2 linked regions of the Nothobranchius furzeri genome follow. The protein of the gene in region 2 purifies or fractionates together with the protein of the main gene of each other region. This does not show direct contact. Links are inferred from orthologs where the notes say so. Each region holds a gene or a part of one and is shown on either strand. Other genes may lie near its edges.

What was found.
Region 1: the proteins of mios (region 2) and nprl2 purify together in Homo sapiens (affinity purification with western blotting; 3 studies listed by BioGRID and IntAct, with this or other methods). This does not show direct contact. The link is inferred for Nothobranchius furzeri from reciprocal best matches to the Homo sapiens genes MIOS and NPRL2.

What each region holds. Positions count from the first base shown.
Region 1 is NC_091743.1:64,714,592-64,718,870, reverse strand, and holds the start of nprl2 (GATOR1 complex protein NPRL2), read right to left. Parts: upstream 2,854-4,279; 5' UTR 2,536-2,853; coding exon 2,464-2,535; intron 2,273-2,463; coding exon 2,181-2,272; intron 2,107-2,180; coding exon 1,938-2,106; intron 1,843-1,937; coding exon 1,734-1,842; intron 1-1,733. Other genes in the region: hemk1 (MTRF1L release factor glutamine methyltransferase), read left to right, coding at 3,495-3,560. UniProt on the Homo sapiens protein: Catalytic component of the GATOR1 complex, a multiprotein complex that functions as an inhibitor of the amino acid-sensing branch of the mTORC1 pathway.
Region 2 is NC_091745.1:63,841,118-63,844,939, reverse strand, and holds part of mios (GATOR2 complex protein MIOS), read right to left. Parts: intron 2,840-3,822; coding exon 2,741-2,839; intron 2,652-2,740; coding exon 2,397-2,651; intron 1-2,396. UniProt on the Homo sapiens protein: As a component of the GATOR2 complex, functions as an activator of the amino acid-sensing branch of the mTORC1 signaling pathway. The GATOR2 complex indirectly activates mTORC1 through the inhibition of the GATOR1 subcomplex.

The sequences.
Region 1 (4,279 bases), on a different chromosome or scaffold from region 2:
TTAAAACTGTGGTGGTGTGTGCACAACCGCGGTGTTGAGGGAGAAGAGTAACATGGCAGACACTGTTGTTGCTGCAGCACTGGAGCGAGAACACAGCAGCTGCTAATGACTGACCAGACCCGTTCTACATATATTCACAGGTCACTAAGAGAGAGCTCTCTAATACCTGAGAGAGACGCTGATTGCACGAAGCTGGAGAAACATTAAATAAAACATGCAGGCAGTTGAAAGCTGGTGTGTGGTGGTTTCTACATTGCCTTTTTGACGTGCGTGGTCTACTGTAGCTGCAATACCCACTCTGAACTGCGTGGCGCTAAGGAGTTGAATGTTGTTACACACATTTGGGCTTTAAAGGGGCATTATGGAAGTTTGACAACCAAAACATGTATAGAAATAATAAATTTCTTCTTCATACATTCTCCTGCAGTGTCCTGGTCCTGTAGAAAGAGCCTGATTGCCTGTTTTTCTGTAAAATCACAGAAAAAGAGAGCTGCTCGGGTCGAGCAGGCTGCTTCATGCACGTTCACGCTCAGGCATAGCCCGTAGCATTTGCTATCCGTAGCTTTAGCAGCAGTGCCAACTCAGCGACTTTGTCGCTGTTCCTAATGCCTAGTGACGGACCTAGCTACATTTCTGAGGACCCTTAGCTACTGTACTTTCTTTAGAACTTTCTTCTAGATATTTCCTGCAAATTAGCAACAAAATAGCCATTTTCGCTCTGAACCGTTCTTTGGTTTGACGTTGTTTCAGGTGTTATTAAGGATATAAAAGTTACAGATACTATGAATGTTACTGGTGTGTAGCTCACCTTGTAAGGTGTCTGACTCTCATGCAGAAGACCAGGGTTCGATTCTGGGTGTGAACATAGTTTATTTAGTTTTTTTTTCACATTAATGTTATATTTTTTTGCAGTAAGATGCCCAAATTTGTATTTGAGACTCGCCGAACGGCATTGAATTCACAGATAAAAAAGATGTGGGTTCAACTTTCATTTTGGAACAATTTTTCAAGCAAGGGAAGGGAATGATCTGAGCATGCAGGAGGACTGACCCATCATAAACCTTTGTCGACTGTGCTGAAGAGAAAGGTACAGAACCAAATTATTTAATTAATTAGCTGTGCATTCTCCTGTCCTCTGGGCCACACACACACACACACACACACGCGCACACACACACACACACACACACACACACACACACACACACACACACACACACACACACACACACACAAGGGACTATCTCAGCTGTTATTTTTGTTAAGGAGTGTGCACGTACAGCATGCGTGCCTCGTGCAAGAGCCTACTATTGAAGCTGCCATTACGCGTTTGGCCTGAGGGGGCAATCGCGAGTATAAAAATTCAAAAGTCCATAAAGTCCCTTTAAGTTATGGTTTACCTGTAAGCAAGCCCAAGAGCTTGACTCAATTCAATATCGGATCTGGAGCCACGTTTGTAAATTAATATAAGTCTAAATGAGAATTTCATTTGTAACAGCACTACAGCAGTTCATTTGAGTCATATCAACGCTAATTGTTCCACAATATTAAAGCAGAGGCAGATGTGGTGATTGTTTGAGACACTGTTTTCAGACGTGTTAGCTCAAACCTGAAGACACCATGGACCCGCTTTACATCACATGTTTTGTAACACACAACACACAATTGAGGAAGTAAATTTTGCTTGGTTTGTGTTCATAATTAAATCTACAGAACAAAATAGAAAACAATACCAATCGGTAAGGTGCAGGCTCCTGTGGCGTTAAGGTCCTCTAGCAGGGTCGACATGATGGGTATGAGTTTATGCTTACTCTCTTCTTTTGATATGAATCCACTTTCCAACTGCAACAAAATGCAGAAAAAAACATGAGCATCACCTCTTAGATGTCTCACTGGAAAAGAAAGAAAAAGCAATCCCAGAACGCATTGCACATTACCTCCAGAGTTGTGAGGTACCCAGACAGCTTCTTGACGATTGGTTCAAGAGCGCACGTGTTGGTCTGAGCATCACAAACAAAACCGAGGTTAAACAGAAGGGCATTTCGACTATACTTTTTATGCTCGATGCACACCGGGCAGCCAATCAGCTTTTTATCCATCGCAGTCCTATAAAAAATAAAAAAATTGTGTCAGAAGTTTGACTTTAAAAAATATCAACTTAACAAGCATGGATTACATACACTGTAATTAATTTGTTTTGTAGTTCTGGTTTGGTGATAATGTAGACTTGAACAGTATCAAATAACTCTCTTGAAATGTATTCCTCTGGAACCTGTCAAAATATAAGTAAGGGGAAAGAACAAAGTCATATAAAGTAGATTGTTTAGCACGATATAATAAATAACACAAGAAACTCACAATATGGGTCAGACCAATAACAATCAAATAGAAGATTAGTACTCAGACGCAGGAAGAAAGCAAAGATTAACTTTGATTTCTACTATAACAAGCATGTTTACTTACCTGGTAGGTTATCTTTGGGCCCAGAGTAGGATGAAACTCACTAAAAAATATACACTCTATTCGAGTGGCCATGTCTGTGATAAGCTCCAACCAGGGTTTTAAATGTGGTTGTTAAAAATAACTTCACCTGAATGCTGTCAGAGAGACAGCCTCCTCTCCTCTTTAACTACAACAGAACAAGCTAGCTGTTAGCTTTTACGTCGAAAAAGAAGCAAATGCGAGCCTTTTGAATTATTTTTAAAAACTACCGCACGGAATAGGAAACAATTAATGTGAATATTTAGTTAAAAGCGTACTTGCACTGGTGAAAATGTTATGAAGTGAGACTTTGAGCTGCTTGAATGAGCTACTCAAACAGATATGGAGGACAACAACAATGCTGCATTCACGGACTGTACGGAAGCTGCAGCTTCTCGTGTTTGCAACAAATATAGCTTGAATACAGTTTTTTTGTTTTATAAGATTGACGTTCAGTCCATGAAATCATCATTTTGATAAAAAACTTGTTGTAAAAATTACATTCTGACTAAAAATAACTTTAAAATGTGAATTTAGATACGCGAACACGAATAAATGATAGTTTACAGCTCTATTTACCGTGAACCATTCACATTCATTGTGTGTGTGTGTGTGTTTTGTCATTAAAACACATGTTTAAATGTCCAAGTCTCCGTGCTACGGCATGTTATTACAATTGTGTATCATAATACTGCAGCAACATTTTAAATTTACAACAGTTCCAAAGCAAACGCCGTCTTGCGCATATTGCGCAACTGCGCCGGATGCGGAAACATTTCTGAGTCACGTGACCTTCGAAACGATTTTCAATGCACGCGACCTGCTCAGTCAATCAGTGTTATTTGTTTCCTACAAATTATCATATTTCCTATGCAGTCGCGCAAAATTGTCCAGGAGAATGAAGGAATTATTTACGCGTTCTGTAATACAGCTCCTGTGAGTAGAAGAGGGACAGAGTTGAGCTTAACTGAGCTGTAGGTGAATGAATAAAAGTTCTTATTTTGTTTAAAACGATGTGGACAAGATTGCTGAATACAAGCTACAGATGTTTTGGAGTCAGGGGGAGTGGTGGACCAAAGGTAACTGCACGTGAAAACGAGGACAATGTTTTTAGTCTGCTAAATTGCTTATGTTAAAAATAACTGCATGCATCTTGCATTATTGGATTATGTCGACTATACAAGCTGTTTCATGTCTGACTAATAGAAGATAAACTCTTATGGTTGTGCTGAAACTCCACATGAAGTACTGAAAAGTAACAACAAAGTAGCATCATCATCCATTCACATGTGAGCTGCACCAATTCCGATTTTTGGGCCAGTTCCTTTTTCCGATAATGGTATCGCTCTGGCGAGCTAATGAGGATATTTCAAAGATCTTGAAGTTATGAAATAGTTTTTTGGGGTGTGTATTTTCCCTGGCGATAGTGGGCAGTACATACCTAAATCATTGCAAGCAAGCACTATTTTTGTGTTCGAGTAAGACCATATAAACGGAAGGCCATTAGGGTCAAAAATCCCTTGGAGTGCAATTTTCAAATGAGTACTTTGTCAGATCGTTTAACTGCCAGCAAAATGACAAGCACATCAGACTACCTTTCATCACTGGAAACGAGTGAAGAGGTAAATGTGTAAAACAACTTTAGGAATGGCGAAAGTTTTATAACCGTTTGTTGCAAATGTGTATTGCCCTCACGGGCTCCCACAGAAGGACATATTGCATCTAATATGGCATCCCCCAGAGACTTGGACCCGCTCCCATGTATTTTAGACCCCATTTTTTTAATGGTTATATGTTA
Region 2 (3,822 bases):
AGACATCAGTTAAGTGATAGTCGAAGCAAGAACAGGAAGATTCAAATGTATGAAAATATTATATGAGCTGCTTCTTTATTTAGGTTTTGCATTTCAGCAAAATTGAATTAAAAAAAGAACCACTTTTGTTTTTGAGTGAACGTCTTCAGAGCATTCTGGGATTTTCTGTGGGACCCCTAAAGGGGACAGTGCCAGTTGGGTGTTTTCACTTTACAGCAAGAAAGTTAATATTTACTTTTAGAGACAGTCTGGGTGGCTTGAGAAACAGCATAATTGTAGCGCTCCGATCTGATAGCAAACGTTTCCTGTTTCACTCCATTCTGAGGAAGCACTGGTTGAAGTGTTTAGTCACAAATTTAAATATTTTATGCATGTATTTTTATAGTATTTATAACCCTTTGAGATGTGAGCTTACCTATGCTCTTCAACTGATGAGTGATTATCTGTATTATTACATAAGGCTGCATGTAGCTTTTCAGAGTAAAAGCATGGTTCCAGATGAGGTGTTTACACACTTTATCTAATGAATGACTGCATCAGTCATGCTCAGGAAACTCTCATTAGAACACACAACAGAAAAACGCTCAACCCACATTGGTGACATTTTCTAGGTCACACGTGTGTAAACATCAGCATTCTCTCTCTCCATTTTCGTTTAACTTGAGTGTGACAACTTTGCAGTGTGAGAAAACACGAGCCTTTTGCTGTCACATTTTTCAAATTCCATTGTTTTTCCTCAAGGAATTTTATTTCATTAGCTCTAGAGATGATGCTTTGTGTCTAGATTCATTTAAAATCCATAGATTACGTCCATGTTTCCGAACACCCTCACAAGCACATGAAAACACTGGTTGCTAGGTAGCGGCACTCGTTGGTGGTTGGATTTTCCCACCAGGAGGTGGGACCACCTCCATTAGAACGGGGCAAAAATCATTCAGATGTTTCCATCCTAACACAATTACCAACAAAAAACAAAGCCTTCCTTATTTTAAAGGAACATTTTATTAAAGGAGAAACGATGGTTGTGCTGGAGAGCACAGATTTGGGTTTCTGAACCAAAAACATGTTTGAAGATTATTGGATAGAAAAACATTCCAGTTAAAATGTTTAGGAGAAAAGTTTGTAACACTTACAAAGCCTCTCCATCTTGGTCTTCACCTAACTTCAGTAATAAATGATCTTTGACCTGCAATTCCAAGTTTTCTCAAAAATACCAATAATGAACGTAAAATGTTTTGTTTTTCTTTGCATTTGTTTTCTAGATAAAAAGTTTGATTTATAATGTGTCCTAATTTCAGAAAATTTTTATCTTAAAGTAACACTGAGCAGTTTCCTGCTCCTCTGCCTTACTGGTTGAAAGTGGAATTACAACATCCCTGCACCAGTCTGCTGTAGCTAGCGCTAGCAACAAGCCAACACTGACATGAGCCATGTCTTACTAAATAAGCCACAAATCAAAAAGATCCACACTGTTGGACAGAAAATATTATTATTTACAAGTCTTGTAGTAACAAAGCTAGGTCACCATCAGCCTGTTATTTCACAGCCTTTTTTTAGCTTCCTTAAAACTAGTGTAGGCCACGCCGATGTTTACTCCGGTTTTAGCTCTTTGCTTCACCTCCAAAGACATTACTCTCTTGCTTTTACTTCCAGCGCCGCCATGATGCCAACAGAAGATCAAACTTGCCCAGAAAATAGCTAACAGCCATAACGCAGATTTAAGAGCGCCCCCTAGGACACCCACCTATTCCACAAATCTGTTAAGTGCTGTATCTGACCAGTAGAGGGCTGCAGAGTGGTGTCACATAATGGAACTTGTCGAGTTACTAACCCAACAATCAGTTAAAGCTCTAGCTTAAAGTTTAAAAAAATATTTAGTGTTACTTTAAGCACTGAATGCCTTTAATTATGTTTATGTTTATTTATATGGTAGTCACCTGCAGAGCATCAATAAACCCAACATGCATGTTTTTGGTCTGTGGGAGGAAATCGGAGCGTGAAAAGAACATGCTCACAGCTGGGGATGGAACCTGTGACCTCCTGCTACCAATTGTTCCACCATTAATTTTTATCTTGCCTGAATATATTATTGTTTTTATTATTTTATTGATTTTAAGTCTTTCTGATTTTATGTTGTATTATGTGACTGCTGTTAGTGTGCAGCACTTTGGACTTGTCGGTGTTTAAAATGCTTTAGAAAGCTGGCTTGCTCTGTTTTTTTCCTCCAACGGTACTTTATTAGTTTTCGTTCATATCCGGGTACCGAGGACCATCAGACATATAAAGCAGACGGCTTTCGTCTTTGAATCTCTAAGATTTTTAATTATGCTGTTTGCTCCTGGACCAGGATGATGGTTTACAGGAAAACGAGACGAATCCGACCAGCTTTCCCTCACCCTTCTCCATAGTGGCTCCCTTGTTGAGGATCTGGATGGCCCGGCGGATGTCCAGGTTGAACAGAGCAATGGCAGCCGCCCGCTCCCACTCGCGTTCCTGCTCCAGCGATCGCAGGAAGGTCTCCACGTCGATGTCAGGACCCCGGCTGATCCAGCCACAGAGCCGCAGGGCGAGGCAGCGCTCCTCACTGCTAAAGCGCGGCACGTCTGTCTGCCGGTCCGAGCCGATCCAGCAGCGGCGGCTCTCTGTGGTGCCTTAACGCACAAGGAAGACAACAGAAAACTCAACCTAATAACAAGCAACAAGAATGTTCTGGAAATCATTTCTCCATTTATTTTCCTACCGGAGCTGGTTCTGATGATGTTCTTGATACCAGAATAAACCAACGACTGCTTGTTCCCCTGCAGCTTTAGTTCCATGTCTTCTGCACACTGCTTCATATGTGAAACTTACATAGGAATCATAACCAACTGGACCAGATCAAATTTCATTCTTACAGTTATGCATTTCCACCTCCGATTTAAACTGTAATCAGCTTATCTTAAAAAGATCAACAAAACCGTTTCAAAGACTCAATATCTGTAGAACTCAAAGCTAAGATGTAATTAGGTATACACGATATATCAGCAACAATATCTATATCGGCCGATATTAGTCATCGTTAAACATGTCTGTATCGATCCGAGAAGTAAAACTGCTGCCGAATGTGTGTGTTTCAGGCGGATGGGGCTGTTGTTATTGCATGTAACTGTTTTGGTCATATGACAGTGATACTAGCAGAATATTAAGATTTTAGCTTACCTTGATTTTGTAAAGCCTCTGGTGTAAAGATCAACAAAAAAAAACACTGCCTGCCAGCAGCAGCAACAGCAGCAGAGATGATCTCTGACAAATGTCTGTGTCACGGACCTCATAGATTTCAGGAAGTTTTGTTTATTTTTACAAGTTAAGAGAAAAGGCTAGCGTGTTTTCACAAACACTGCATCAGTCCAGCAAGACACTTTCCAAATTCTTCCATTTTAGAAGCCGTTAGCAGAGCAAGGCTTTGTTTACCATGGCACTCCTGTTTCAGGAACTAGAAGTTAGTTGGATGGATTAGATTCAGACATCTCATCTCTGATTGGCTAACAGCAACGGGACTCTACCAATGGCTCTGATCTGCGAGGTTGTTTTATCTCCACAAACAACACAAGGCTGATGTAGTTCTGCAGTGTGGTGGAGTTGCTAATGCTGACGATTAGCTTCTACTAGCTGAGATGTGCTCTGCTGGACGGTAAACCAACAATAGCCTTCCCTGTCATGAGCCAAAATGCAAATTTACAGTCTGACGTGGAAACGTCAGGCTTTTCTAACCCGAGTTTTCCCATCTATTTTCTATTGGCAGCTAATGAAGGAAATGGACCTTGGGACGGTGCTACAGGTCAA